7 linked regions of the Oryzias latipes genome follow. The protein of the gene in region 7 binds, or shares a complex with, the protein of the main gene of each other region. Links are inferred from orthologs where the notes say so. Each region holds a gene or a part of one and is shown on either strand. Other genes may lie near its edges.

Region 1 (4,280 bases), on a different chromosome or scaffold from region 7:
ATTAACACTCCACAGTCTCTGGTAAGGTCTCACCTGAACTCTGTTCTTCGTCTGCAGAGACATTTCTCGAGCTCATCGTGTGGCTGCAAGTCTGGAGGCGGGGACCTGCTTCATCAACAATTACAACATCAGCCCAGTGGAGGTGCCATTTGGAGGGTATAAGATGTCAGGTGGGGTCTTGTAAAAAAAACAAAAAAAAACAAGAGGCTTCTTGAGGAAAAATGGTGAAACCGAGTTCTTGATCTGTGCAGGCTTTGGCAGAGAGAACGGCCAGGTGACCATCGAGTACTACTCCCAGCTGAAGACGGTGGTGGTGGAAACAGGCGATGTGGAAAACTACTTCTAGAGTTTCCGTTTTACACTCATTTCAGAGCAATAAACGAAACTGTGCAGACCTGTTGAATGTGGATGTCCTATTTGAACTTTTCTGGAGTGTCTTTTATTAACTCTTAAGTGTGTATGAACAGCTGGCATGATTCTTCAGGCTAATTTATTTTGTCACGTTGGACATTTGCTCATGCAAACATTATCTGAACTCTGATCCTGAAGTAAAAATAGCAGTTGCATATAGAGTTTACACTGCTAGAAACATTGATCCATCTTCTAAACCACCTTTATTCATGTATATAAAAAAAAAGTATGCTGGGTGTCCTAGAGCCCACCCAGCTACTGAAAGGCAAAGGTGGGATACACCCTGGGCAGTTCACCAGACCACTGCTGGGTCAAATGGTGTTAGGATTCAGTCTAAGAGACACTTTTGAGGTCTTAGGTCAGAGAGCTCTTCTCCAAGGTTGCACCAAACAATCAGGTCTCTGTTTTTATAAGGCTTGTATTTTAGTCTGATGCCTGGACCGGTGAATGTTAATAATAAAGCCGAACTAAATAGATAATGTTGATGACTCATAAACTTGAAAAGAACTGATTTTGTAATGGTTGGCCAAGATTCTGGGACATTTGGAGCTTCCACTAAAGATAACCAGAACAATATACAGCTTGTTACAGAAGACCCATGATCACACACAGAAACAAAAACACTAAACATATCATTTGTTTTTAATAAATACCAGGAAGACTAAATTGTTTCTGCTCTGAGCTTTTATCTCTGTCTCCCTGTAAGCTGCACCTTCTCTGTGCTTCCTTCACAACTGTCTGCAGGACTCATCCTCTGATTCTGCTCTCAGCTCTTCAATTTCACTTTGGTTGCTGCAATTTCTCATTTTTTTTTAGTCAACACCATCGTTGATTCTCTATTTTAAAAAAGTCAGTATAGACTGGATTAATGACTCTGACGGGACAGTTCTAGTACATTATTTTGGCCTGGAACAGAGAATTTGGACGAAAGAAAACAATATTAAAGGGTGCAAAACCCTCAGAAACAAATATTTATTGAACAATAAATAAAAAAAGAAAAGAAAAAAACAAGAGGATGGGTGGTATGGGTACCTGCTGTAGCCACAAGGGAGCACAAACACACCGTCAGATTTGACCAGAGAAGAAGAAGCATCTCTTTTTTTTGGAAAGCGCAAAGCGGAAGTACAACCTAGAAGACTTCCGGGTCGCTGACAGATCAACAATGCAAGTGAGTCTGAAATAATTTCACTCGGTTGTCTGTGATTCTTCTGACCTACTGTGGACGATACTTTGGACTGATGCTAGCTCGGGCGCTGTGTAATCTGTCCGGGCCTCTCTGCTCGTCCTTTTTGTGTTTCAGCAGCGGGAGGAGAAGCAGCTGGAGACGGCGGTGGAGTCTCTCATCTCCCGGGTGGCTCACGTTAAAAACGCCCTGAGCAGCTTCATCTACAAGCTGGAGAATGAGTACGAACGTCTGACATGGTGGGTCCTCCTGCCCTTATGACGTAACGTATCCCCCCTCCTTTGATTATGATAAATAAAAGCCTGGAAACATGCGAAGTTAACAAGTGAGTGCATATCGTGCGTGTGCATGTGTGCGCGAGCGCACTTAGACTATAAATCTTTGTTGATCCCACAAAAGGGGAAATTACCTTGTTGTTGCCATAGCTCCAATAAAACATCAGATATATATTAATAACACTAAAAATACACTTAAACAATTAACAGCAATCATTTTTGTCCAATGTCTATAAGGCATTGCAGAGTCTAATAGCTGACGGGAAGAAAGATCTGGGAAAGTGCTCCTTCCTGCAACAAGGTGTAAAGGAGCTGCTCAGTACACCCATACAAAGGATGATGATGATGATGAAGAAGAGGAGTGTCCATGATGGAGTTCAGTTTCTGTAACATTTTACTCTCACCCACCACAGTTACCGATTCTAGGAGACATCCCAGAACGTAGCCGGATCTCCGCTCCAGTTTGTTGATCCTCTTCTTGTTCCTGTTTGTGCATTCACACCTCCAGCAGCTCAAACCATAGAAGAGGGCAGACGCAACAATGCCATCATTAAAAAGAGTCCTGAAAACTCAGGAGAACCCCAGTCTCCTCAGTATCTCCTGCGATCTGGGATTGCTTCTCCAGCGGCATGTTGTTGTTGCCAAGCAACAACAGCTGACCGTGTAGACGATGTACCCACAGACCGCTTCAGACCCAGAAAGTGGGGGATAAATAGTCCAAAGGACTAGCAGGCACGCCACTGCACTTGTGTAAAAAACAACAATTCTGTCAAAAAACAGAATAATAATTAGAGAAAAAAAAAAACGAAACTAAAGAAAAACAAGCAAGCCAACACAGATCTATGGTAACTGCCAGCTTGTTGTAGCATTGGTGTCTGTATTTGCGTGCGTGTATTTGTACGTGTGCATGCGTCTTTTAGAAAGTGTTTGTGTCTCCATGTTTACCTGCAAAAGTTTTCTCACCCCCCTCTCAAATCTTTCCTGTCCCTCAGGCCATCTGTTTTGGACAACTTTGCTCTCCTCTCGGGTCAGCTGAACACCATCAACAAGCTGCTGAGGAACGAGAAGACCCCAGCTTTCCGGAGTCAGGTCATCATCCCGCTGCTCCTGTCTCCTGACCGGGATGAGGATTTAGCTGTGAGTGTCGCCGCAACATTTGCAGGCTGTCCTGTGTGGTGAAAGACCTCTAACTATCCTGTCCACCCCCACACCCCCCTCAGAAACTCACAGAGCAACGCGTCCCGGTGTTCAGTCACGAGATTGTGCCAGATCACTTGAGGACCAAGCCTGACCCCGAGGTGGAAGAGCAGGAGAAGCAGCTGAGTGCAGAGGCGGTCAGGATTGGTCCTGAGTTGGCTCAGGTCAGGAGGCGCATGGATGTTTGTTATCTGTTGTCTGTGCTCAGAAGGTGTTTAGTGTTTGTCTGTGCTAATCCACAGAAGCATATCCAGGCTCTGAACAAGCTGTGTTCCAACCTTCTGGAGAAGCTGAACAACCCTCGAGAGGACAGAGAGGGAGATGCTTCTGGTGGGTCGCTCGTTTGTGTAAATCCCTTGTTGTCCTTATTGTAGAAAGAGCTGAGTGTGTTTATCTTCCAGCAGTGCGGCAGAACAAAGCGTCCTTCAACCCCACAGACACCAGTGCCTTGGTAGCAGCTGTGGCTTTTGGGAAGGGACTCTCCAAGTGTAGACCTCCTGGCCCTGTGGCCCCTGGCCACCCAGGGCAGGGGCCCATGATGAGCGGAGGTCCAACGTTACAGCAGGTCACTATTGGTGGCGGGTCAAACCAGCAAGCAGGTATGGGAGGGCCTGGGGCCCCCCAGCAGCAAGGTCAGCCAGGTAGGAAACTGTACTGGTAAAATGTATTAAGTTTTTTGTATTGGAGACACATTTTTATTTCTTTATTTTTGTCCAGGAAAAATGCCAAGCAGCATCAAGACAAACATCAAGTCTGCATCGGGTTCCATTCACCCTTACAACCGGTGATCTCCCCCGCCCGCCTCTTTACTGCTCAGATGCAGGAACATCAGTCTGTTACTGGGTCCACCTTCACGTCCCCCTTTGAAGCTCTCTATACAGCCACTAGGTGGCAGCATGGGATCCTTTATGGCTAAATCTTAACAGCACAATGACATGTTTTCAATAAAACCCAGAAAAGCAGCTTGGTTTGTGTGGCCTTTATTATACAAGTGTCTTTCTCTTGTTTCTGCACTGAAACGACGTGAAAAAACCTGAGCTCCGCTCTTCTGAGTCTGTGTTGCAGCGCTGAGCCTGATGGGGGTGGACGTTGTGTCACAACTTTTAAGGGAGAACGCGAGGAACTATTGCTGTTGACAATGGTGGTGGTGGGGGTTTTATTCCTGTCTGAGTGTTGGCCCTCTGTCTGCTCTGATCCTGTCTGGCTGTATGACC
Region 2 (4,269 bases), on a different chromosome or scaffold from region 7:
TTTATTATGTCATTAATGTAAAGTTTATTGCAAATCTTTCATGGATATGTGTTGTTGCAAATAAATATTTTTTAACATTTTGTACACAAGTTCCATTACTGTGAAACAACGGTTAAATTAAATTTTCATGTAATCAAATTATTTTAATTTGCAAAGAGAAATTTTCTCAATATGCTACTGTGAGGTAAAATTAGAAGAAAAATGGCTTAAAATACTTTTACCCCAAATATGTTTGTTACATAATTGTTTTGCTCAGCGTACATGATTTAACCATGAACCTTCTTTCTGTTATGTCATAGATAGAGAGATAAAGAGATAGATAGATAGATAGATAGATAGATAGATAGATAGATAGATAGATAGATAGATAGATAGATAGATAGTTAGATAGATAGAGAGATGACACTTTCATTTGCAGGTAAATTATTCATTACAAATAAAAAACTTCAGTATAAAGCAAAGCTAAAAAAGCTAAATATGAATGTAATTTAATGTAATTGCACAGTAAATTAAGAAAAAATGGTTCTCTTCAGGCTCAGAGGGTCTGATTATGTCAACATGAAGGAGCAAAAATGTGTAAATTCTTAATACAGTTTTACAAATTAACATATTTTACATAGTCATAATTGCAATGTTCAAACTACCGGTAATTCACCTGCAAAATATTTGCAAAAAGAATATGACTATTTCTGACTTAGGGCTGAAGATCACAGAAATTATAGAAATATTTTGTCATGAATTTCAAGCTCACCTGCATTCTCTTGATCATCATTAACTGCTCCACCAAAGGCTGGATCTCTCCGATTAAATTCATGGTTGCCTCCAGCATGATGAAGGCATGAACTGATGGGAAGGAGGCACGCACTGGAAGCTCACACTGCACAGAGAGCATGCTGGGAATACTGGGGAGAGTCAAGAGTCATCCCAAGAAAAATTAACTTTTTTTAATGTTTTAAAACACTTTTGAGTAAGAGCTTAGTGGCTGAGGAACCTTCACCTTTTTACTAAAAACAAACTTTCTTCCAGTGAAGTCCTTAATGTTTGGTTTGGTACATTTCCAAGACCTTCCGTAACTTTAATCACTGCTTGCTCCACATTGTTCCAGGACCCTTTGGAAGAGGAATTTCACATCAAACCTTACAAATGGTGAACATGCAAACAAAGACCATAACCTTTGTGTGCACAAATGCCTACATTCTCTTCCATAACATTCATATTTCAATATTGTCTTTCAATATTTTATTCCCAAACCTTGATCTTCTAATCGGGCGATATGAACCAGAGCTCTGTTCTTGGTGCTTTTCATCAGGGTATGAAGCCTCTCCTGACATGTTCTGAGAATAGCCTCTATGCTGGGTACCGGTCCGAGCTCTCTCAGGTTCTCGCAGTACCACGCACAGGCCTGCAGCAGCCAGACCACCACCCCAAGCAAAGCCCGACACAACCCAATGCATTCCTCTGCTTTGCCATGGCAGCTGAGTGAGAAGACAACAATGTACAGTATTAACAATTAAAGCTATAGTACAAATATAAGATAAAATACAATATGCAAGTGAAGTATTGGGGAAATAACAATAAGACAAGGCTTGGCACACAAGTAAATCAGTTAAGATTTAATTAAAAAAAAAACATATCAATAAAAATTGTTGAAAATTCCAAGTTAAAGTGAGGCAGATTGAAGATTTAAAACCCTGACAAATTTGCTGTCCAAAAAATAAATAAATAAAATAACAAAAATGTACAAGAGAAAGTCACAAGGAGAGAATAGTGGTGTTTACTCAGAAGTATTCAGACCTTAGGCGACAGCAGAACATGTCTATTATGTCCAGCAATGACTTCACACAGAGGTCCCGCGAGAAATCGTCAAACTATAAACAAAACACATTGGTTACAAATGCAGCAGAGATCCATTTAAATGCGAATCTTCTGTCCTTTTTATGATCAAACACACCTTGCTGATGGCTGTGAGCACACTAGCATAGGACACCATCTAGAAAAGTGAAACATTAACAGTCATTATTTAAAAATATATATATATACACACATTTATGTATATACACATTTATGTGTATATATATGTGTGTGTTCAGTTTTCAAAATAAAAGTTCCTTTCCAACCTGTGAACTTATAGCATATTTAAGGTAGGATAAGATGAGTGGGTTAGGGGATGGACCAATCATTGCCTGCTCCATCAAAGCTTCTGGAAAACACAAAGAAAATAATGAAAATTAAATGCATACATGTTATAGGATGAAACGCCGACGTTGTTTATCACAATCAACAACCTGCGAGGTTAAGGTAGTCCCATGTTGCTCCCTTTGGAAAGTTTTTCTTGATGTTGACAGCCCATTGGTAGTCTGTCCACCTTTCTTTCCACGCCTGCAGGATAGCCTGCTTCAAATTAACCACCTTCATGCTGGAAAGGAGCGAACACACGTATCTGTTAGAGAATAGCTAACTCACTTATGTCAAAAAAATAGCAAAATTGCCACACGTTTTAACATATAAACACTGGGTCAAGTCAATGCAGCTGTTAGATTCGCTGTTAGCATACCTTCTCAATATTAGCTAACAGAAAAAAACTAAACGTCTCTTGTTTCGCGAACAAACTCAGAATCGTCCCCGGAAAAGGCCAGAACATACCTCTCAAAGTTTCATTATTGACTTAATTCATATCTACCTGCTCTCGTTTTGTTAAAGCGCAAGATGTGGTTGTTTTTTAGTTTCACAGCTCCACAATGCAGGATACCCCCATTGCTGTTGTGAAAAACACCGCCGCTCATTGGCTACTCCCGACACTCCACCAGTATTCTTTTCGATGATTGGATAATGATGTTTTTCGCTTTTAAGCCTCAACCTTCGACTGCAGAATCTGTCTACTACCACAAGATGTCGCTGTTAACCACAGAACTTATGAAGTAGATCCGAAATTGAATGGGACTCTAAAATGTAGTTTGCAGTAAAAAAAAAAAAGCTTATTTCAGCTTTTTTCTTTCTTTTTTAAAAAGTTGGAAAATCACTACCCAATAGCAAGAATAATGAAAAATATATTTTCAAAATGAACACAATGATTAAATTAGAATAATAAGGAATCAGGAATCTTTATTGTCATTTTAAATTAGCGTCTCTGGTCCCGGGCCAGTCGTTTACAGTGAGAAGACAGGAATAAGTAAATAACAATATGATGTAGTAATAATTTACATTTATGGAACCCACAGTGCACTTTTAATTTAAAAATCTAAAATAAAAAAAAGCTTCTGAGCTTTTGTTCTTTGTTCGATTTTTGTTTTTTTTTGTGTGCACAAAAATTTGTTTTGCAAAAATAAAATGAACCCTTTCTCTGCATCAATCTCCATCAGACCAATCTTGTATTAGTCAGGGCCAACAAAGAGCTTCTTTCTGCTTGTTACTGGAGATGATGTACTGACTAGAGTGAGGTCTGTGTCCTGGGACAAGAGTTATGTAAGACCGAAAGAGATGATCAGTGCATATTAGGTGGACAAGTGTTAGAGGACTGATGAAGTTGCGTGTTTGTGTGGAGGTGTGTCTGGAGAGAATGATCTTTTCTCCTTTACCTTACACTGAGGGCTCTGTTGAGGAGGCGTGGTGACAGCTCTCCATCTGCCACAGGGGTGATCAGAGGGACTGTGGCTGCAGCTCTGTGTCTTTTCTCACGGCTTCATTTCAGAGATTAGGACATGTGCTGATTCTGGCTTTTCTCACTTCCAACCTTTATTATGTTACTTGTTATTGTTATTCAAAAGTGATCCCCCATCTTACAATATTATTGTATCATCATTGTGGTTCATTACATAACGTCTGTTTCACTTTCAAGTTACTTTCTCAGTTAAAGCTGCAGAACTACAACATAATAAACATTTATAATACAAAGTATTTCACATTTACTATAAATAATGTTATTAATATTAACAGTATTGTTTATTTTTGAACAAGTGAAAGCACACAAAAGACGACTATATTAAAATTCTTAGCTTTAGTCAATTTATTCCAACAAACTTCAAATAGAAGTAAAAAAGAAAAAGTAGAAAACAGAGACCAAATTTGGTTGGTGTTCCTCTAAAAGACTAAAAAGTGAGTTCTAGTTAGGCTTTTCTGTTTTTCTTATTCTTTTTTCTCTCAAATTCACCGACAGCCTTTAGGCACACAAAGATGATTACCAAGAGTTGAGATCCAGGAAATGAGAAAGATCTCATCCTGTCCCCCAAGGATGCCCATTTAGATAAGACTCAGAGTAGATCAGTATCAGTC
Region 3 (2,163 bases), on a different chromosome or scaffold from region 7:
ACCAGGTGCCATTGGTGTCATAACAACCATTTACTCCTGGCCACTGTTGTGTGTGGATCCTCTCCAAGTCCTTGTCCGTCAACTGCCGACTCATGCCTGGTAAATCCCCCTTTGAGCTGTCTGTCTGCAAAACGTGCATTTTCTTGGACTCTTTGGTCTCCTGTTCTTCCCTTTTGAGATATTCTGACATAAAAAAGTGTGCACTGGGGGTCTGAACCCCTGAAGAGGTGAGCAAATTGCTCTGAAGGTTCAAGTAAGACTGAATGATTTCGTTTCTAGACAGCTCTTTCCAGTTAGTCTGGAGGAAAGGGTTAGGGCAAGGACTTGTTGTTGTGGCAGCCGACTGCTGGACAGAACTTTCTGTTCTCTGCCTAAACTCTGCTGGATCAGGAGTAGAGGACACCTCTACTGGAGAAGGATCTTTATGCACCAGAGGTTTGATCTGACCTGTGACTGGGTCAAACGTTAGTCTGCGTTCTTTTAACCGTACTCTCTTAGTTGTGTCTTCCACTTTCTGCCCATCCAGGTTAATAGAGAAGTCTCTGGACTTGTACTTCCTCCTTTTATGCTCAGAGTTGGCTGCTGTCATTCTATCAGTATCATCAGACACCACAAAGCCCGCTTCCAATCTTGATCTCTGGGATTCTGTATTCTGTTGACAGAGGAGAGGGGAGGCTGATGGTGAATCCAGAGTTCCAGATACATCCTGGGGTTCATACAAACTGGTTGTGTGTGACAAAGGCTTATGAGATAAATGGGGCAGCTTCTCAGCAAAAGATGGTTGACCCGGAGAAGCCAAAGCCTGGGAAAAGGATAAGGGAGAGTCTCTGGAAGAAGGACTTGGGATTGGCGTTCCTTTCAGTCCATATGGTACGGAGCGCTTTGGTAAGGAGTCATGCTTCTGGCTCCGCGGACTGGAAGTGACACTGCGAGGACTCTTGCCTTGATTGTAGCTCCCTCCTTCTTCCTCCAGCCTGGCATGTTGCTGGATTACTGCAACTTTAACCAAAGAGGAAGTGCTGGGTAGTTTTTCCACCCCAGGGGAGTTGGGACAAGGCCTGACAGAATTGACTGAAGTTCTGTTCACTCTGTCGTCATCAAGGTGATCTACTCGGCATTTACCAGGAGACACTGTGACATCTTGTTCAAACTGGGTTCTTGGGCTGCCAGCAATCCCATTGGTGGGTAGTGGGGAGACAGAATTATCATATGTAGACGTCTTTGAGAGGTTTTCTGTTAAGTGCAGTCTGCTGTGCTCTACCTTGCGCTTGCTTGATTTTTCAGCTTTAGGTGAATACGTGTTCTGAACATAATTTCTCATCCTAACATCAGCAAATCCTTTCCCCAACACAGAAATCTCTGGAGGAGAGGGGTCGGTTCGGCACAGATGAGAACTGCCATTTGTCGACCCAGTGACACTGGGTGCCACAACTGGCCCAGGTTCAATCAGTTTTTGCCAGTTTTTCAACAGTTTCTTTGCGCGCTTTGCAAGATCTTCATCCTTGGTCTTCTTTCTAATATCATTGATCAGTTTTCCAAGTCGCGTTTCCTGTAAAATATGTGAGAAAATCAGAGAAGAAAGTCAGTATTTTCCTTTCAGTATGGAGTATCTGTTTAGGAATGCACGCTTTACCTCAAGTGCTTCTTTGGTGATAGGATATTTCTCCAGACAGTTAATTACTTCCAACACAATCACCATGTTGCAAATCTGCAAAAAACAGACAGTTGTTTCATGAGTTCAAAGACAATGCTGGCATCCACACTGTTGAACAACATTCAATAAAGATTGACACCAAATGCAGATATAACAAATTGGTATGCTTCTCTTGGGATTCATTACCTCACATTTATACAGTGTGTTCCAAATTATTATGCAATTGTTTTGTATTTAAGAGTCAAAAAGATGAATTTTTCAAATCAAACTCATGGATTATGGTGTGGATCACTGACATCCATCTCAGACACCTGTGATAACCAGGTGAGTTCAGTCAAATTGTCTAAATCAGGGTCGTGGGCAGGATCCGGCTTGCCTTCAATCCGGCCTCTCCATGGAGACCCACATAAGAGACATCTTAATCCACCACTCTGCAGTCTGTGCTCCGACCTGAACCCCTCTAAGAATCCCTGTCAAACAGAAGACAGTCTTCCCTTTCTACATTGGAG
Region 4 (3,987 bases), on a different chromosome or scaffold from region 7:
GTCCCTCTGACCATCACCAGGACATTCATACACATTCACACAGCAGTGGAGCTGCACTGGAGGCAAGGAGGGTGAAGTGTCTTGCCCAAGGACACAACGACAGTTGAGTGGTGGGACCAGGGATCAAACCGCCGACTCTTCGACCATTGGACGATCTGCTAAACTGCCTAAGCACCTGCATAAGCACCTGCCGCCCCATCAATTTTTAAATGAAATACCGGTTTTCTTAGCAGCTCATTTTTGTTGCAATATGAAAACCCGCCTGTTTTTGGGGATTGGGAGGGGCTGGTGCTCAGAGAGCAGGTTTTTAGAGGAAAACTCAGAAATGCATTAAAGGATCAAAATACTCTTCTGGGGTCGTTTTTCAAGAGGAATTAACAAATATAATACATAAAAAGCTAAAAATAAAATTGATTTTGCATGATATAGGTCATTTAATGAGAACCAATGTTTTTTTATGCCAAATCTTGAGTCGATACAAAAAGATGGCACAAGAGAGTAATTATTTTTTTTGGCAGAGATGAAGATGCTACCTAAAATGGAAGAAGGAATGAATTCTTTAACGAAAACCTTAAACTAAAATCTTTGAGTGTCAACGCTGAAGTCACACAGCTGCTTGAGTATCTGGATGTTACCAGACACAAAATGATACATCCAAATCCACAGACTGAAAGACAAGTGTGTTTGCTCACCTTTCTTAGCCTTTTCAATGGAAGCAAGTTTCTCCTTGGCCTGGTAAACTGCAGTGGCCTTGAAGGAGAAAAAGTCAGTTTAGATTGACAGAAGCTGCTTTCCAAGTGTGATCTTAGATCTGGATCCAGTGACCCCGTCATTCCTACACCTTTCTGTTTTAGGTGCTGGAAAAGAAGCATCATCAAAATGTCTACAATAGTTGATAAAGAATGACATTATTAGCATTAGCTGAGTCCTCAAAAGGCATGGGATGATCCTAGTGTTGGGCAACAGGGCTTGCAGTTCTCCGCGTGCCCCGTTTCACCTGGCAGACTGAGCCCACTACCCCTCCCCTTTCGTTCTCACACACGCAGCCGCGTGTGACAGGAGACGGGAGCGCGCAGCTACAGGGACAGGAATTCACAGGTTTCAGGTTGTCACAAACTCTGTGATTTTACAGACAATAGGAACCGAATAGAGGCGCAGATTTTTTCCCCAAGCACTGAGCCGCTGTCATCACCGCCCCCACGTTAAATATGAGCACCGGACAATTGTCTGTATAACCTGTGCCTAAAACCGCCACTATAGCGCGCCCCCCCCCCCGGCATCGCATCGGGGGGGCGCACCCCACTATTTGAAAAGCACTGCTTTAAACTGTTACACTTTCAGACAGTGGTGAAATTTGTAATGACCCAGATGACTAAGCAATCTTTAGATTACTTTGAACTATATTATTTAATTGACTTAGCTCTCAACATATATGTTACAAAAAAAATTATTTGTCACAGGTTTTTTTTTTTTTTTTTACAGTTGTAGTAAACTGCCAGATTTACAACACATTGAGTTAATTTTTTACAGCAAAAGATATTTAGCCTTTTAGAGTTTTTATACTTTTACTCAACAAATGCTAAAGCCAGCACAGCCATAGATCTGCTTACAGCAGCCTATATGGAGAATGCATTAGACTGGCTTAATCTGCCTATGTGCTAGAAGAATGAGGATTTCTGCTAATGCACCTGTGAATGTAACTACATCACCTTACAGCAGTATCAGATGAAGCAAAAATACACACAACCTCAACCCACCAGGATGTGCTCTGCCTCCTTCAGCTGTTTCTGCAGCTGCTGGATGTCACTGTCTCTCTTCTCCACTTCCTTTTCCAACAGTTGCATCTCCTGATGAATCTTTCCCTGCTGCTGGGCCACCTCCATCAGCTCTTGGAATTCCTTGTCCCTCTGCACCAGAAGCTCCAGGATCTGAAGACAAAACAGGCTCTCCAATAAACACAAGAAGCAGCACTGATCAGACGTCGACTGTGGCCTTTGCTTCCATGGAGACCAGCATCATTTCAAATGGCTAGAGGTGACAGTGCTGCACAGCTCAAACCCAAAACATGAAATGTTTTTTTTCTTCATTTTTTTTAAACATGGCCATATCCAAATAAATGCTGGAATATCAAGAGAGAGGCCGCCCTGATGGCTGAGGCCAAGCCTGTTGTTTTCATGTTTTTAGATGATCTGCTCCTGATGACAACTATTTAACTAAAGAAATAATCAGAAATACAATTTAAGCATACTTTTTTTTGTAAATGTCTTTTACCATCTTTAAAATGCCACAAGAACATTTTAAAAACACAATTTTCTTTGGAGTGGCTCTTTTGGAGTGTTGAACTAGAATAAAAAAGTTGTGTCCTTCACCTGTGTGTCCTCTCCTGGCTGAGGAACTTTCTGGTTTCTGGCCAGAGCCAGCATCTCGATCAGCTCCCTGAAACAGAAGAGCAGACATGGAGGATTCAGCACGAGGAGCTGTGGAGTACGCGGCACAACGGAGGCCATTTAAAGCCCCCCCGGGGGGGGGGCTTTAATTTCAAAGCGTGAACTAAGCCTCATGAGCCTTTACTCTCCACTGGACTTCTGGACTCGAATCAGGACTGTGCAGACCAAGCCGTAAACCCGCCTACTGTGTCGCTACCTAACTACAACACGGAAAACAAAATATGAGCTGTTTCCTTTACCGCGATAACACCTCCAAATCATCCAACACAGAAAGTAGCCGCTCTTTTGTTGACTTCTCTGCTGCCGCCGCCATACCTGTTTCTAAAGCAGAAAGGATATGACGTAATAAAGACTTTACCTCAAATTGTAAGTTACTGTCACCTAGTGGTGGCAAAAGGAATATCATGCTAAAAAGTACGTTTTGCCTATTCCAAGGAGGAAAATCTTAAATTATTTTTGGAACCACGGATAATAATAATTCATAGAAAAGTAATAATATTTTTTGTAAATTGTTTTACTTAAATTACTAAATAAACAGATGTAAAATGTTGATGAAAACAGCCAAATTTTGCAAAAGTTATTTCAGTCTGTGTTCTAAAGTTTTTGCAAAATGATCTAAACAATGATTACTATTTTAAAAATACTGGACAAGCTGCAGTTATTTTAGTGCATAAAGGATGTAAAATGTCTACAGGGTAAAAAAAAGGAATTATTACAATATTTTAGTAATTAGTAATTTACGTAAACGATTTAAAAGCAACTTTTTCTCTTGAACTAAATATGTAGTACGTTTATTTGCCTATTTATCTCTTTGCATACATTTTTTTAAGAATGTATTTTCCATGATAAAAGTTGTTCTGATACAATACAAAAAGCAAAGACAAAACTAGGCAACATATTGCAACAATGTTTATTAATACTAAGATTACTCTGACTTCCTGATTTTTTATTTATTTTATTATTATTTTGTTATGGGTCAAAGTGTTAATGTTAAATTCAGGATAAAATCTCATTATTTGTGTGCATTGACCCATCCCCTGGGTAGCAGTGCACTATAGCTGTGCTAAGGAACTATTTGGTAGTCTAAGTTTCTCTGACTTTGACTCAGCATGAACACACACATCCAAAGCAAGTTTGTTTTGTTGAGGCTGCCAACAGTGAGATAATAGTGAAGCTTTTTTGCAACCAGGCCACTTCCTGATTGTCAAAATAAGAGGGATTCAAAGATGGAAATGAAATGCATTTTTGCCATTGCATCTGAAAACTGCATACTGACTTCATAGGAATTTGAACCATATATGTTTGTCTTCAAGAATGAACATTTCCCCCAAAATATCCAAGTGAAAGCTTTTAAAAATTTTAGAGGCTTCATTACTGTTTTTTTTTTTTAATTTAAAACGTTTTTTAAAAAAATACTTCTGTTTTTGTGGTTGTGAATAATCTTCAGGTCAGCATATCTGTGTAGTTGTTTCTCATTTGAAACCTAATGTTCACAAAGACAAGGCTGGTCTGAAAATAAGGTGATTCAGAAAGAAGTCAC
Region 5 (4,280 bases), on a different chromosome or scaffold from region 7:
GTAGCTTACAGTTAACAATAAAGTAAGAAAGGCTGAATTAATACTTTAAAAAAAAAAACAACTCCCAGGAAGGATCCGGGTCGTGTCTTTCACACCAAAGAGCCGACTTTAAGGTTGTTTCACTTGCTACTGACACATCAGTACACGAGTCTCTGCTCTGCTGCTCACCTGCTGCTCCTCAGGGATAACAAGACTCCTTGCAGGATCTCTTTTTGTCTTTTTCATCTTTGAGCCAGTTTGGAAAGCAAAGCGACTGCAGCAATGAGGGGATGTCTGTACTTTGACCGATCCCCCATGCTGCTATGTGCCAGTAATTCCGTCTTTTTTTATAATTAGTCTCTGTTTCATTTCAATTAACAGAGAAAAAGTCAAAGCCTGCAAAATCTAAGTAACAAAGTAACAAGGGTTTCTATAGTCCAGTAACTGTAATTCATTACAGAATATGAGCTGTAATTTGTTATGTTCTACCGTTACTGACAAAAGTAATTAAATTACAGTAATTTGTTACTTTGTAATCCATTACCCCAACACTGAGCAACATACAGAAGTGAGGATATTTATCAGTTTAAACAAACACATTTCTGTCTTTAATGAAGAAAGGTCAGGAAAAAAAAAAAAAAAAAACTAAATGAGTAAAATAGGTGAATCTGATCTTTAATGTGATACATAATATGGAAAAACATGAAAATTGGAGTAATATTTTTGGCTTTTCAGAGCTTTTTGTTCCTTCTTTTCATTGGGCAGTCATAAAAACAGGTTTTCATGGAATATTCGTGTTGAGGCCTTGCAGGGCTTCAGATTATTGAAGGATTTCAAGCCTCCAACCAAACGAACTTCCAGTTAAGGAATGTAGTTTCTGGCTTCACTTTTCAGGGAAGTTAAAGAACAAATGTTAAAGAAAAGATGAAGAGACTTACAGTTCAGGTAGTACGGATTTGCCAAACACTGCACAAACTCCAGCTCGGCCTGGAAGCGGTGCCGGGCCTGCTCATCTGGACCAGAAAAGACAGCATCACACAAAAGTAAAAAACACTGCGAATTCTGAAACAATAAGCAGTTTGGGCCTGACGACCTGCTGCAGTTATTATTATTATTATTTTTTTGCTGCTCTGATATTTCCATGATTCGTGTGTTATGCTAACACTGTAAATGAGTTTTATTTCCCCAAACACATTTCCTGTGTTAGACCAGTGGACTGGGTGATAAGTTAGAAACTATATAAGCGCGACGCAAGAACTGGTTTATTGTCAGACTACATTTTCACAAACGAGCCTCTGAGGTTCGGCTACTAAATACAACCAAACAAAAAGATGCGACCGACAAAAACGTCTGACTAAAGTAAATGTGAGTTCAACCAGTACACAATTTTACTAGCAGTGTCCTGAAAACCTTAGAGGGTCAGTCACCGCACAGTGAGTGCGGGAACAACTGTCACCAGAAATCTATGTTTTGAGTAGAACTCCTGGTTCCATGTTGGGGTGGAATCTCAGTCATTCAGGTCATGATAAAATGAAAAGTTCCAAAAGTATTCAACTGGACAAAGTTTCTGGTTTGAAGACGTTTCGCCTCTCACCCGAGCAGTTTCTTCAGTTCTGTCCAACTGGTGCTGAGCTAGAGATTTACATCCTCCTCGCTGGAGTCCTTTGATGGCCAACCAAACCCCCCAGTGACTGATTCGTTGACCCCTGTGTCCCGGTTGTGTCTATCTCTTCCTTTTCCTCACTGACGGTGCTTTCTGCCCAGAGAAACCTTTAAGAGGGCCTGACGCTTGTTTGTGTAATATTCAATAGAATGAGGGTTTTTATTTAGCGTTGTAGTAATGTGCGTTAGCAGCTGAAGGTGGGTAAAATGCCTGACTGAGGCAAACATCAAGCGTCACAGACAGATGTGGAGCAGTGGACGTCGTTTTTCAAAATAAAACCTTCATAAACACCTGATTAACAGAAAAAAGGAAGAGTGGTACCGATATGGAGCTGGAGACCACTGTCCCCGGTGAATCATTGAGTTAATGGGGTAGTTAAGGTAGTATGTCTGATAAAATCTCACATTTACAAAGTTATTCAAACCTGATAGAGCTTTATTAAACCCACGTGAACTAGTGTGTTGTCCTTATGTCGGTCTTTGGTTTATTTATTGGTTAAAGAGAGTTAGCAGTTTGCTAAAATTAGCCCAACGTTTTTGAAATTATGAATTATATGCAGTCTGAAGATCTTACTTATTCCTGCTCAAGCGACCTGTACTAGTATGTCGGGGTTTACTTTGGCTTCTTTATGAAAAATGTGTCAAGATGGACGAGCTTCATATTCTATCTTTTTAAACTTTCTCATAAATGTCATATTACTTATTTTACGGACTACAGCGAAAAAATCCCCGCGTTAATCGCCGACATTATTAATTTATTATTTACGAAAAATTTTCGGCTTGTTGTACGCACGAACTCAGGTTAATAAAAGCATCAACACAGCTTTAAGTCTTTTACAAAAGTTAGAAATACACAGTTTCTCAAATGTCAAATAAAAACACAAGAATAATGAAGACATTCATCATCCTCCCATATAGTTAGACTTAGAAGAACCAAAGCTAACAAAAATAGGTTTAGCTACAAACCTGTTTCCATGGTATCGACCCGAACAGTAACTATTTACTGTCCACAAACTGAGCAGGGCTTCCAGAAAGAGCAGAAAATCCTTATATGTGTTTAAATGTTTAACAAATCTTCAGTCCAGCTGCTTTTGTTTAGCTTTCATCAGCCGTAAGTGAACTACTCGGGCAAAACCACTTCCGACTTTGCGACACCTGCTATCTACTTTACGGCTTTTTTTCTTTTGCAACAAAACTTTGTTGTTCAGCACACGGACAACAAAAACTGAGACAGAAAATACCCAACACAAATAAAAAATACTTGTTAATCATACTTTTGGTTATATAGTGTTTGAAGTCTGAAGAAATAAACATTAAATGTCATCATGAAACAGAAATAATTTGAACAGTGAATAAAAAACGTCCATGTTTATTTGAGTCTTTGTTATTTATTGGAAAAACACAGAAATTAAATGATCAAAAAGCAGTAAACGGAAAATGTTTTGTTATTTTTCATCCAGTCTGATGTTAATGTTTTTCTCTGAACACTGAAAAATATGAGAATATGCAAAAACTTTAGGTAATCAAAATGTTTCACACTTGATTCATAGGATTTCTGATCTTGTAGTTCAGCATCTGGCCGTATGATTGCTGTATGAATGATTGTGGCGCTCCATGTATGTATGTATGATTGTGGCCCATGTGTGATTGTGGCGCTCCACAATCTTACTAGGCTGTGCTTTTCCTGCCAGCATCTTACACCCTGCAGTTATGTGCTGGATTGTTTCAGGCGCCTCTTTGCACAGCCTACACCTTGGGTCTTGTCTGGTGTGGTAGATCTGAGCCTCCATTGCTCTGGTGTTCAGGGTTTGTTCCTGGGCTGCCAGGATGAGTGCTTCAGTGCTGTCCTGTAGGCCAGCCCTTTCTAGCCATTGGTAGCACTTCTTGATATCAGCAGCTTCAGTTATGGTCCGGTTTGTCCTCCCATGAGGATTTGTCCTCTAGCACTGCATCCCTCTCCGTTGCCTGAGACATTCACTGAACACACTGTCAGTTGGGGCCTTGAGTTTGATGTATTTGTGTGCAGCAGGAAGAAAGAAATAAGAAAGTGCACTCGCTGTAGTTAAACACAGTGACGTATGCTTCAGAGGACGTTCAATTGGCTGTTCTGCATGTCAATCAAGTGACATCTTTCCTGCCGAGGATGATGATTCACTGACAGATTTTTAAAAAATATATTTTGATATTTATTTCTTATTTTTGATGACCTGCAATCTACAGTTCCATCCTTCGTGATCGACATAATGAGCACCCCTGACCTAAAGGATTTGAATGTGGACCATAAAATAACACTCTTTACATGTTTGAGTGATAAAGTTTTATTATCAACAAGTAAAAGGAGTTAGCAACAGGTTTGTAAAAAACAGGAAGATACATATGTACACAACACACACATACGTGCATACACAAACACACACACACACACACACACACACACACAAACAGGCACACCTTTGTTACTTATATTGGTTTATATAAAAACTAAAAACCTTTGTAGAGATCAGCAAAAACCTCAATAGATCTGCCGTTTTCAGATTCAAACCACTGCAACACAAGACGTCTAAAAAACCTGCTTCTCCACGTTTCTCTTAGGTAACACAGAGAGACTCTGACCCAAACTTCATTTACTGAATGTTAAA
Region 6 (3,500 bases), on a different chromosome or scaffold from region 7:
AAAAAACGGTTCTAGTGAGGGAGCCGATAATCCTTTATGAACTAGGTCTGGTGTTAGATAACGGAACCAACACATTTGATCAATCTACTGACTCCAGATCTGAGTTTCCAGAGCTCCTTGACCATATACCCCATCAGTACGAGCACCGAGGAACATGGGAAAGCCCAAATCAGCTTTTTGCAGCAGAACTTTGAAAGCTACTGGCAAATGCAGGAAGTTAGAAACCTCACTATTCCTTTTTCTCTTCCAAAGATATCAGATAAACATTCATCAGATATGCAAAGCTCAAATATCCGTATTGAGACCAGAGTAAGAAGCAGATTGATTCTGCCCAACGTGGATTTTCCTCTAATCCTAAGCAGACACATTTGATTTTTGCTCCATTTCTATGTTTATTATAATAAAAGCAGTTAAAACCATCAGACTGTAACAACATTTGTTAACCAACCACGCATGAAAAGCTTGCGTAATTACATGCCGGATAACACCAAAGTGTTTGCACCACAAAAGATCTCCTGGGATGAGAGGATGGGGTTTTAGCAGCTTCACCAAAGCTGTGAGTTAAACACCACCCGTCTGTTTGACAGCCAGCAGAGACAACACAAAGATAGTCAACAAGACAGTAAACAACAACAACCCAACTTTACTTTCTCTATAACAATATTACAGGAGTTGGCACCATTGACTGTTAATGAGAATTGGACCGAGAACAAAATTAAGTCAATTCAGGCGCCTTTTTTTCACAATATGGACGCCGCAATGTTGGAACCAGATGATGAGAGTATTGGTCGGAGTCAACGTTTCTATGGCAACCTGTCTTGCCAATCAGGGGTGAGCTTGCTGGAAACCGCAACCACTAATGGCGGGTTACCTGACACCTGTCAATCTAGCGTTTCAGACGCGAGACCACCTACTTCTATTGAGGCATCTGATTGGTCAGTTTATAATTTGAATAAGCTGCACTAAAGAAACATTCCATGAAATGAAACAATAAGATTAGAAAGAACATGTTAAAAAAAAGCAAGAAAGGTTGTTCTAACAAACAGAATGACTGAGTAACAGCTGTTTATTTCTCTGTAGACGTTTCCAGGGTTTTAGCTTCCTGTTTATAACATGAGGGGGAGGAGTCAACTCTCACATACAGTCAATGGTTTGCACAAGAGGACACAGATTTATTATGACGATGGTGCAGCTGCTCATCCAAGTTTAGATCCAACTAAGTCCAATTTATCACTTTACAAAACAAAACAACTAACTTATAGATGTTCTGTTCAGTTCTGCATGCATCTTTAAAGCATCTTCTGGCTACTTAAGTTAGAATTCACTTTTCAGACGCATGACGTATGTAAGCAGGTGTGGGTTTTTTTTTTTTTTTGGGGGGGGGGGGAAGCAGCAGCAGCAGTGACAGCATCAGCAGCAGCTCTGACATGGGGAAAGCCTTCCCGACGACAAGCAAGCACCAGACTACATCCACACATGCACTGCAGCAGGACCTGAAATGTCAACAGCAGGGCTAGCAGTCAGAAATACTTCATGTCAGCTTGTAAGCAGGAACCATGAAGCCCGGAGAGCACACAGCCCAGCTGTGCCGTGATCGATCTCTATCAGCTCGGCTGGCATCAATCAGTCCCAGACTACTGGAGAATTTCTGTCCTGGTGGCTACAACACGGAAACCATTCAGGATCAGCTTTATTTATTTAAAAAAATCCCATTAACGGTGAACACATTTAACAAAATGGGGCAACAAATCTTATCCGAATGATTAACCGGGAACTCCAGTCTTTCAGACATCATTGAATGTTTTAATCAATACACTTACAGATGCTGCCACCATTCAGCAGAATTAAAGGGGTTTGGACACTAATGAGGCTGAACATATGGCAGGAAATTATTTATTTGTACAGCGTTTTAGTAATCGAACGACCTATCATGCCTAATGCTGTGGAAACTTCCCGACAGGTCATCGATCCACCTGCTGTTTCCTGCAATATACACATCAACCTAATTAAAGGCGAGTTTCCATTTAAACAGGTGAGTTATCTCTGTCGCCCTGCTGTGACCATCTCAAGCTCTGTAGCATTTCTCATTTGCTCCACGTTTTATTTGAGATGATTGTTTTTTTTTTTCAGTTTTCAACTTTTTAGCGAAGTAGCGGGGCCAGTAAGTCTCTCAGTGTCCAGTCAGCTGGTTAGTTGGCGAGTCATGTGACCGGGAGGAGGAACAACGACATACCTGGGCAATGTTCAGAGTCTAGCGAGCGCGTGGCAGAGAGACAAACACAACACAACCAACGGAGAGAAACCAAATAAGAGGAAAAAACAAAAAGAGAGAGGTGGGAAAAAGGAGAGAAAGAAAGAAAGAAAGTAGTGACTAAGCAGCCATAGTACGTTGTTTTTTTTTTATTTGTTGAGCACAGTTAGCAGCAGACCAGTCATTCTTTTCTATTAACATTTTTTTTTTATAATCGGTTTTAGTTTATTCCAAACCTTTAAGATACAACAGGGAAGCCCAACAGGGAATTCAGGTGCATTATGGGTCAAGCTCACAGCGTTGTTTAACTGTGTAACAAAGACTACAAGGGAATCCAAGTGGTGATGGGCTTAAGAGGGATAACAAAACAGACAAAAAAACTACACAAAAAAACTGAGGAAGAAAAGTTTTCATAGTCCAAAAATAAACCAAAAGGGGCTGTGAGGTCAAGAAGAAAAAAGGTGGTATAAAACATAGAAAAGTGCCAGAGGAAGCATATAAGGAAGGTTTTCATTCTGTTTTTTACCTGTTTGTTGAGTCCTAACATGTTGCACACCATTTCCCTGGAGTACGGCTGTTCAAGCACATAGCGGAGCAAGACAGTCTGCGGCTCGAACAGGTCCTGCACCCAACGACCAAAGCAGCCATTACCGTTTGTTCCTGTGTGGGCGTGAAGCTGTGCAGATGCGGGGTGGGTTACCTTGTCATAGGGCAGCATGCCCCTGAGGGGGAAACGCAGGGTGGCGGGGTCTAACTTCCAGGAGTTACAGATGGCCCCGCTGTTATTCACAACTGGCAGCAAACTGCATCGTCCTTAAGGGGGGGGGGGGACGACGACACCAAATACAAGTCACTTAGCTTCAATTACGCTTTCAAACATTTAGTTTTACGATTCTGGGACTGATTTCAAATTCCATTAACATTAAACTTCCAATATTTACAAGGATATGTGGAAAAAGTTGAATAATTAAGAAAACAACAATTTATAAAAGAAATTTACACTAAAAAACATTTTAAAATGCCAATATAGTGTTATTTTTATTTTTTTATTAAATAAAAGTTTTCTTTTCTTGGAAAACCCTGCAGGAAACTGATTAAAAAATATATATATTTTAGTGTGAATCTGATGTTTGTCATTTAACCTTCCTAGGGACAGCAGATTACGAACATATATCATTAAAATCTGTACTATATGATGTTTCTTCCATGATTTTAACTGTTTTGTATAAATCCCAGATCTATTTCGATC
Region 7 (4,115 bases):
GGTTACATACATGTGGAGTGAATGGATGCTGCACCCACAGTCAAGACTTACTGCAAAGCAAACACTTGCACAGTGTTCCAACATTCACAATGTCAATGAGAAGTATATATTTTAACGCTCTTAAAGCATATTAAGATATGTATTTGGGTCATTTTCGAATTGGAGGGCATTTTATGTCGCAACCATCACATTATGAAATGTTCTGCATACAAAATACAAAAAAAAACAAAAACAAAAAAAAAACCCTGCAGTTAATAAAAAGGACTTATACTGGAACAAAATCTACAAAAACTACAAGAAAAGAATTCCTACAATTGTTTAAAAAATACCAAATAAGCATTGAGTGCCCCTAAAAAAATGCGATTTTATTCCTTGTCCCACCCCCTCTATGTCCAAATTTAAATCTTCAACAAAACAGTTATCAAAGGAACAAGTGTCCCACAATGTACATGCAACCCTTTACCATAACCTTTTTAACATGGTAGAAGAAGAATTACTTATTTACAAGAGTAAGTTCGTCCTCTTGGTGATCAATAACAGCTAGTTAAACAACTGGCTTGCACTCCTGAGAGATAGCTAAAATAACATTTTCGACCCTGTTACCTGCAAAAACATTTGGAAAATGTTGTAAACAACAAATATATAATTTAATAAAAAAATGTACAATTGATCAGTAAGTTTAGCTATTCAAGCATTTGACAGTTTAATACTTATTGATAGATATGCAGCAGAAGATCAGAAAAGTGAAGGTTTACTTTTCAGGAATTTTGAAGCCCAAATGTCCTCCAATTCTGGAAGGACCCATATATGTATACCTTTATAATAGGCCTTTATGTAATAGTAAATAGTAATGTAATAGTATTAAAAAAAGAATCAATCGTCTTAACAAAATAAGCAGTAACAACACAGGCCTTAATTATTGGTATTTTCCATAAAAAAACAACTTCACATGTTTTTGTTTTTCTTAAAGCTGCATCAAAGAAACCTGAATTGTAAAAGCCAGATTCAGGTCACGTGATGACAAAGTTGGCCAACTGGGAAAAGCGATTCTGAGCTTCAGACCTCCATTACATCACAATGCGCGATGGTTTTGCGGCAGAAAACAAGACGCTTTGGAGCTTCGAGTAAAAACAAGCCCACTCTCTCTCTCTCTCTCTCTCTCTCTCTCTCTCTCTCTCTCTCTCTCTCTCTCTCTCTCTCTCTCTCTCTCTCTCTCTCTCTCACACACACACACACACACATGTGCGCACACGCACGCACGCACAGGGTGACACATTCGGGCTGCGCACGCCCATCTCAGTGTAATAACGCCGCTGCGAGACATAAACAATGAGGAAGGAGCAGTCGCGGTGGAGGAAATCATGCACATGTCTGAGGATTTAAATCAACAATCAATTCATTTCTCTTGAAGAAAGCGGATTCATTGGGGGGAATCGAACGCACGCCACATATTCTTTCCTGTCAATAAATTCGGCGCCAGACGAGGAGGGCCACTTTTTTTGTGTGTGCTGCTTCGAGTGTACATTTTTTTGTAGAAATAGTACTGGATGTTTTTGAGCAAGACTGAGGCTTTTGTGGCCGCGCGAGGACGTTTCGTAATGATAGAAAACTGAAAGGAAGGAAGGATTTTTTTCTCTAACCTCCGTCTACAGTCGCCTGCCGTTTTCCTGCTGTTGGAGTGTTTTACTTTTTTCTTGCCTGAGCGGTTTGACTCATGGTTCTGAGCTCGACTTTGTCCCCCCCCCCCCCTCCCCTCTCTCATTCTACAGCCTGCCCGATCGTTTGATTGAAAAGCAACAGAGGGATTAAAACCTTCGTTCGTGCTCGCAGCGCCTGTTTTGTGTGAGCCTGGCTGGGTTACATTGTGAGAGGAACGGTTGTGGCAAGAAAGAAGGCTATAAATAGCGCATGCAATTCTCGAAAACTATCACAAGTGGTGCATCAGCTTGTTGGAGCAGACGGAATCAGATATCCTGCATGTGATATCTGCGCGTTTATTATTTCTCCGCGCCGTCGATCATGCGCATGCGGTTCGTCTAAAGAACAAAGTTGATGCGTAATTTTGCATTTTTCTGTTCCTGGGCGCAGAAGACGGCACTCGATCTCTGATGGATTATGGTGATTTAATTACGAAACTATCCGCGGACAGACTGCTCTGGAAAGGGTCTGGTCTTTTGTGTGTGGATTGAAGAAATGGAGCTGCTCTCCGTCAGCGATCAGATGTGGAATCGCCCGGACCGGATTGTAATGTTGTGATCCCCGCACATGCTTGGATTTATTGCGTTCAGGCTACAAGAAAGCTCGGGCTTCATTGGATGCATTCTGCACTTCTTTCTGAATACGCCCATTCCTCCACCGACCATCCCGTACAGCCTGTTATCCGGGACCTCCTTGTGAGGGTTTAAGCCTGCTGGTTTCGGCAGACTCACAAGGGGAACCGATTCGTCACCCCCTGCTCGGTGCTAGCAACCGATGTAGGATTTCGACATGCCATGCGCTGACGACCCCAAAGGCGGACGATTATGACTGCATCGGCGAATTGGGTGGCTAACGGGGCAAGCCTTGAGGACTGCCACTCCAACATCTTCTCTCTGGTACGATAAATCCTGTTCATCACACACACACACAGGCAGGCAGGCAGTTGTGATCGACAAAGTCATAAGACCGTGGGAGGCACGCTTCAGTGTGTCTGTGCGCAAAAGTGAACCAAACGCTGATGTTATTTGACAATCATTAACAAAAGATCTCCAGTAAGGCTGTTATGATGGCACACTCCACATACCTAACCAGCAGGAACTCTTCTTATGGTATTATTTTACGCATTTATTGCCAACAATTGGAAAAACGAAGCTGTCTTTCTCAAATATATTTCTATTGAAATATTTCCTAATAATAGTTTTATGTGTGAAAAGAATTCCATGACCTCAGGAACACTGAGGAAACAAACATGTCACACAACAAAGATGGCTTTTGGCAATCAAGCATATCACTTTCATTTAATATATATGTAAAAAATGGGTTGGTTTTTTTTTTTGACTGAGTGCAGTGTCATGCTTTCTTGTGCACAACTCTGGTTTTTGAGGGCGGAGGAGAAAAGAGCAGAGTGTTTTCACAGTTTTCATCCTGTAGTCAGCGAGTTAACTGTCTTACCACAACAGGCAGTCAAGTGGAAAGGCATGCAGTGGACTGGGCTCAGGCTGCTGAGAACCACAACAACATAGGGGTCCTGGGGGCTTTTCAGGTGAGGTGCAGGTTGAGGAGCAATAACAGTCCCTATTACATTAAACAAATCACTGCAAGGGTACACAAAACATGTTACTAAAGGAGGTTTGAACGAATGATCACAAAGAGAGTGAGGAAATATTTCCTTTTTTTACAGCACTGTGTAAAAAGCAGGGAGTGTGTGGGACTTAAAGCTACCCCATTAACTTTTTAAAAGCATCTTGTGTGACTTTCTACGCATTCATGGGGAGATGCATCCCAATATAAGCAGTCTTAAATCTTCTCAGCTTGACACAATAGAAAACAACGATTGCATTTCTGTCACCGTCTCATTCGTGGCTATTCCCTTGTGGGGAAAAAAAAAGCTCTCATTCACTCACTGTGGCTTTATTGGCCATCGTGAACATCCCTTTCAAACTGAGGGTGAACGAAACCATCCATCAGCCGGCTTGTTGAGAATATTTATGACTGGCGAGTGCCTCAGCAGTTACTCACTGGCAGGGTTCCTGCAGGGGAGTCCTGGATGGGACAAAACACTAATGACACACCAAGTGTCCTGGTTAGAGGCTACAGTGACAAATGTAGGGATGGAAAAATGTATCGTTGGGTTTACAGTGAAGGAATGTGCAGGGAAAGGTTAGAGGTGCAAGTTAGGATTCTGCAACACAGCAACAGATTTTTAGCAAAGTTGCAGTTGTTGGGTATATATTTGTAAGTTGTCCATGTGTTGCATTCATCCCTTAACCCTGTTTTCACTTATTAGACTAACAAATGGGTTGCGTGTCCAGATATGGGAAATTCTAAGACTTGAATTACAGGTTTTTACGTTTATCCTGTTTAAAACTTGCAGTTTTAAATTCATCTAGCTGCACAAAGCTACTTTCTAGGGATAC

Evidence for each region.
Region 1: med13l (region 7) and med8 share a complex: the UniProt entries of both Homo sapiens proteins name them as parts of the mediator complex. The link is inferred for Oryzias latipes from reciprocal best matches to the Homo sapiens genes MED13L and MED8.
Region 2: med13l (region 7) and med24 share a complex: the UniProt entries of both Homo sapiens proteins name them as parts of the mediator complex. The link is inferred for Oryzias latipes from reciprocal best matches to the Homo sapiens genes MED13L and MED24.
Region 3: med13l (region 7) and mediator of RNA polymerase II transcription subunit 26 share a complex: the UniProt entries of both Homo sapiens proteins name them as parts of the mediator complex. The link is inferred for Oryzias latipes from reciprocal best matches to the Homo sapiens genes MED13L and MED26.
Region 4: med13l (region 7) and med4 share a complex: the UniProt entries of both Homo sapiens proteins name them as parts of the mediator complex. The link is inferred for Oryzias latipes from reciprocal best matches to the Homo sapiens genes MED13L and MED4.
Region 5: med13l (region 7) and med31 share a complex: the UniProt entries of both Homo sapiens proteins name them as parts of the mediator complex. The link is inferred for Oryzias latipes from reciprocal best matches to the Homo sapiens genes MED13L and MED31.
Region 6: med13l (region 7) and med23 share a complex: the UniProt entries of both Homo sapiens proteins name them as parts of the mediator complex. The link is inferred for Oryzias latipes from reciprocal best matches to the Homo sapiens genes MED13L and MED23.

The regions. Positions count from the first base shown.
Region 1 is NC_019862.2:24,740,789-24,745,068, forward strand, and holds med8 (mediator of RNA polymerase II transcription subunit 8), read left to right. Parts: upstream 1-1,480; 5' UTR 1,481-1,573; coding exon 1,574-1,579; intron 1,580-1,711; coding exon 1,712-1,833; intron 1,834-2,861; coding exon 2,862-3,006; intron 3,007-3,089; coding exon 3,090-3,230; intron 3,231-3,308; coding exon 3,309-3,396; intron 3,397-3,467; coding exon 3,468-3,707; intron 3,708-3,783; coding exon 3,784-3,854; 3' UTR 3,855-4,028; downstream 4,029-4,280. UniProt on the Homo sapiens protein: Component of the Mediator complex, a coactivator involved in the regulated transcription of nearly all RNA polymerase II-dependent genes.
Region 2 is NC_019877.2:9,579,827-9,584,095, reverse strand, and holds the start of med24 (mediator of RNA polymerase II transcription subunit 24), read right to left. Parts: upstream 2,801-4,269; 5' UTR 2,681-2,800; intron 2,675-2,680; exon of another isoform or gene 2,555-2,674; intron 2,417-2,554; 5' UTR 2,416-2,416; coding exon 2,286-2,415; intron 2,201-2,285; coding exon 2,118-2,200; intron 1,991-2,117; coding exon 1,952-1,990; intron 1,869-1,951; coding exon 1,795-1,868; intron 1,476-1,794; coding exon 1,252-1,475; intron 1,110-1,251; coding exon 998-1,109; intron 903-997; coding exon 752-902; intron 1-751. UniProt on the Homo sapiens protein: Component of the Mediator complex, a coactivator involved in the regulated transcription of nearly all RNA polymerase II-dependent genes.
Region 3 is NC_019875.2:6,560,887-6,563,049, reverse strand, and holds part of mediator of RNA polymerase II transcription subunit 26, read right to left. Parts: intron 1,709-2,163; coding exon 1,634-1,708; intron 1,550-1,633; coding exon 1-1,549. UniProt on the Homo sapiens protein: Component of the Mediator complex, a coactivator involved in the regulated transcription of nearly all RNA polymerase II-dependent genes.
Region 4 is NC_019879.2:14,006,626-14,010,612, forward strand, and holds the start of med4 (mediator of RNA polymerase II transcription subunit 4), read right to left. Parts: upstream 2,801-3,987; 5' UTR 2,761-2,800; coding exon 2,687-2,760; intron 2,437-2,686; coding exon 2,370-2,436; intron 1,929-2,369; coding exon 1,758-1,928; intron 751-1,757; coding exon 693-750; intron 1-692. UniProt on the Homo sapiens protein: Component of the Mediator complex, a coactivator involved in the regulated transcription of nearly all RNA polymerase II-dependent genes.
Region 5 is NC_019872.2:23,702,500-23,706,779, reverse strand, and holds the start of med31 (mediator of RNA polymerase II transcription subunit 31), read right to left. Parts: upstream 2,801-4,280; 5' UTR 2,618-2,800; coding exon 2,608-2,617; intron 993-2,607; coding exon 918-992; intron 1-917. UniProt on the Homo sapiens protein: Component of the Mediator complex, a coactivator involved in the regulated transcription of nearly all RNA polymerase II-dependent genes.
Region 6 is NC_019882.2:15,915,325-15,918,824, forward strand, and holds part of med23 (mediator of RNA polymerase II transcription subunit 23), read right to left. Parts: intron 3,065-3,500; coding exon 2,952-3,064; intron 2,874-2,951; coding exon 2,778-2,873; intron 2,252-2,777; coding exon 2,234-2,251; intron 1-2,233. UniProt on the Homo sapiens protein: Required for transcriptional activation subsequent to the assembly of the pre-initiation complex. Component of the Mediator complex, a coactivator involved in the regulated transcription of nearly all RNA polymerase II-dependent genes.
Region 7 is NC_019870.2:12,442,803-12,446,917, forward strand, and holds the start of med13l (mediator of RNA polymerase II transcription subunit 13-like), read left to right. Parts: upstream 1-1,315; 5' UTR 1,316-2,522; coding exon 2,523-2,594; intron 2,595-4,115. UniProt on the Homo sapiens protein: Component of the Mediator complex, a coactivator involved in the regulated transcription of nearly all RNA polymerase II-dependent genes.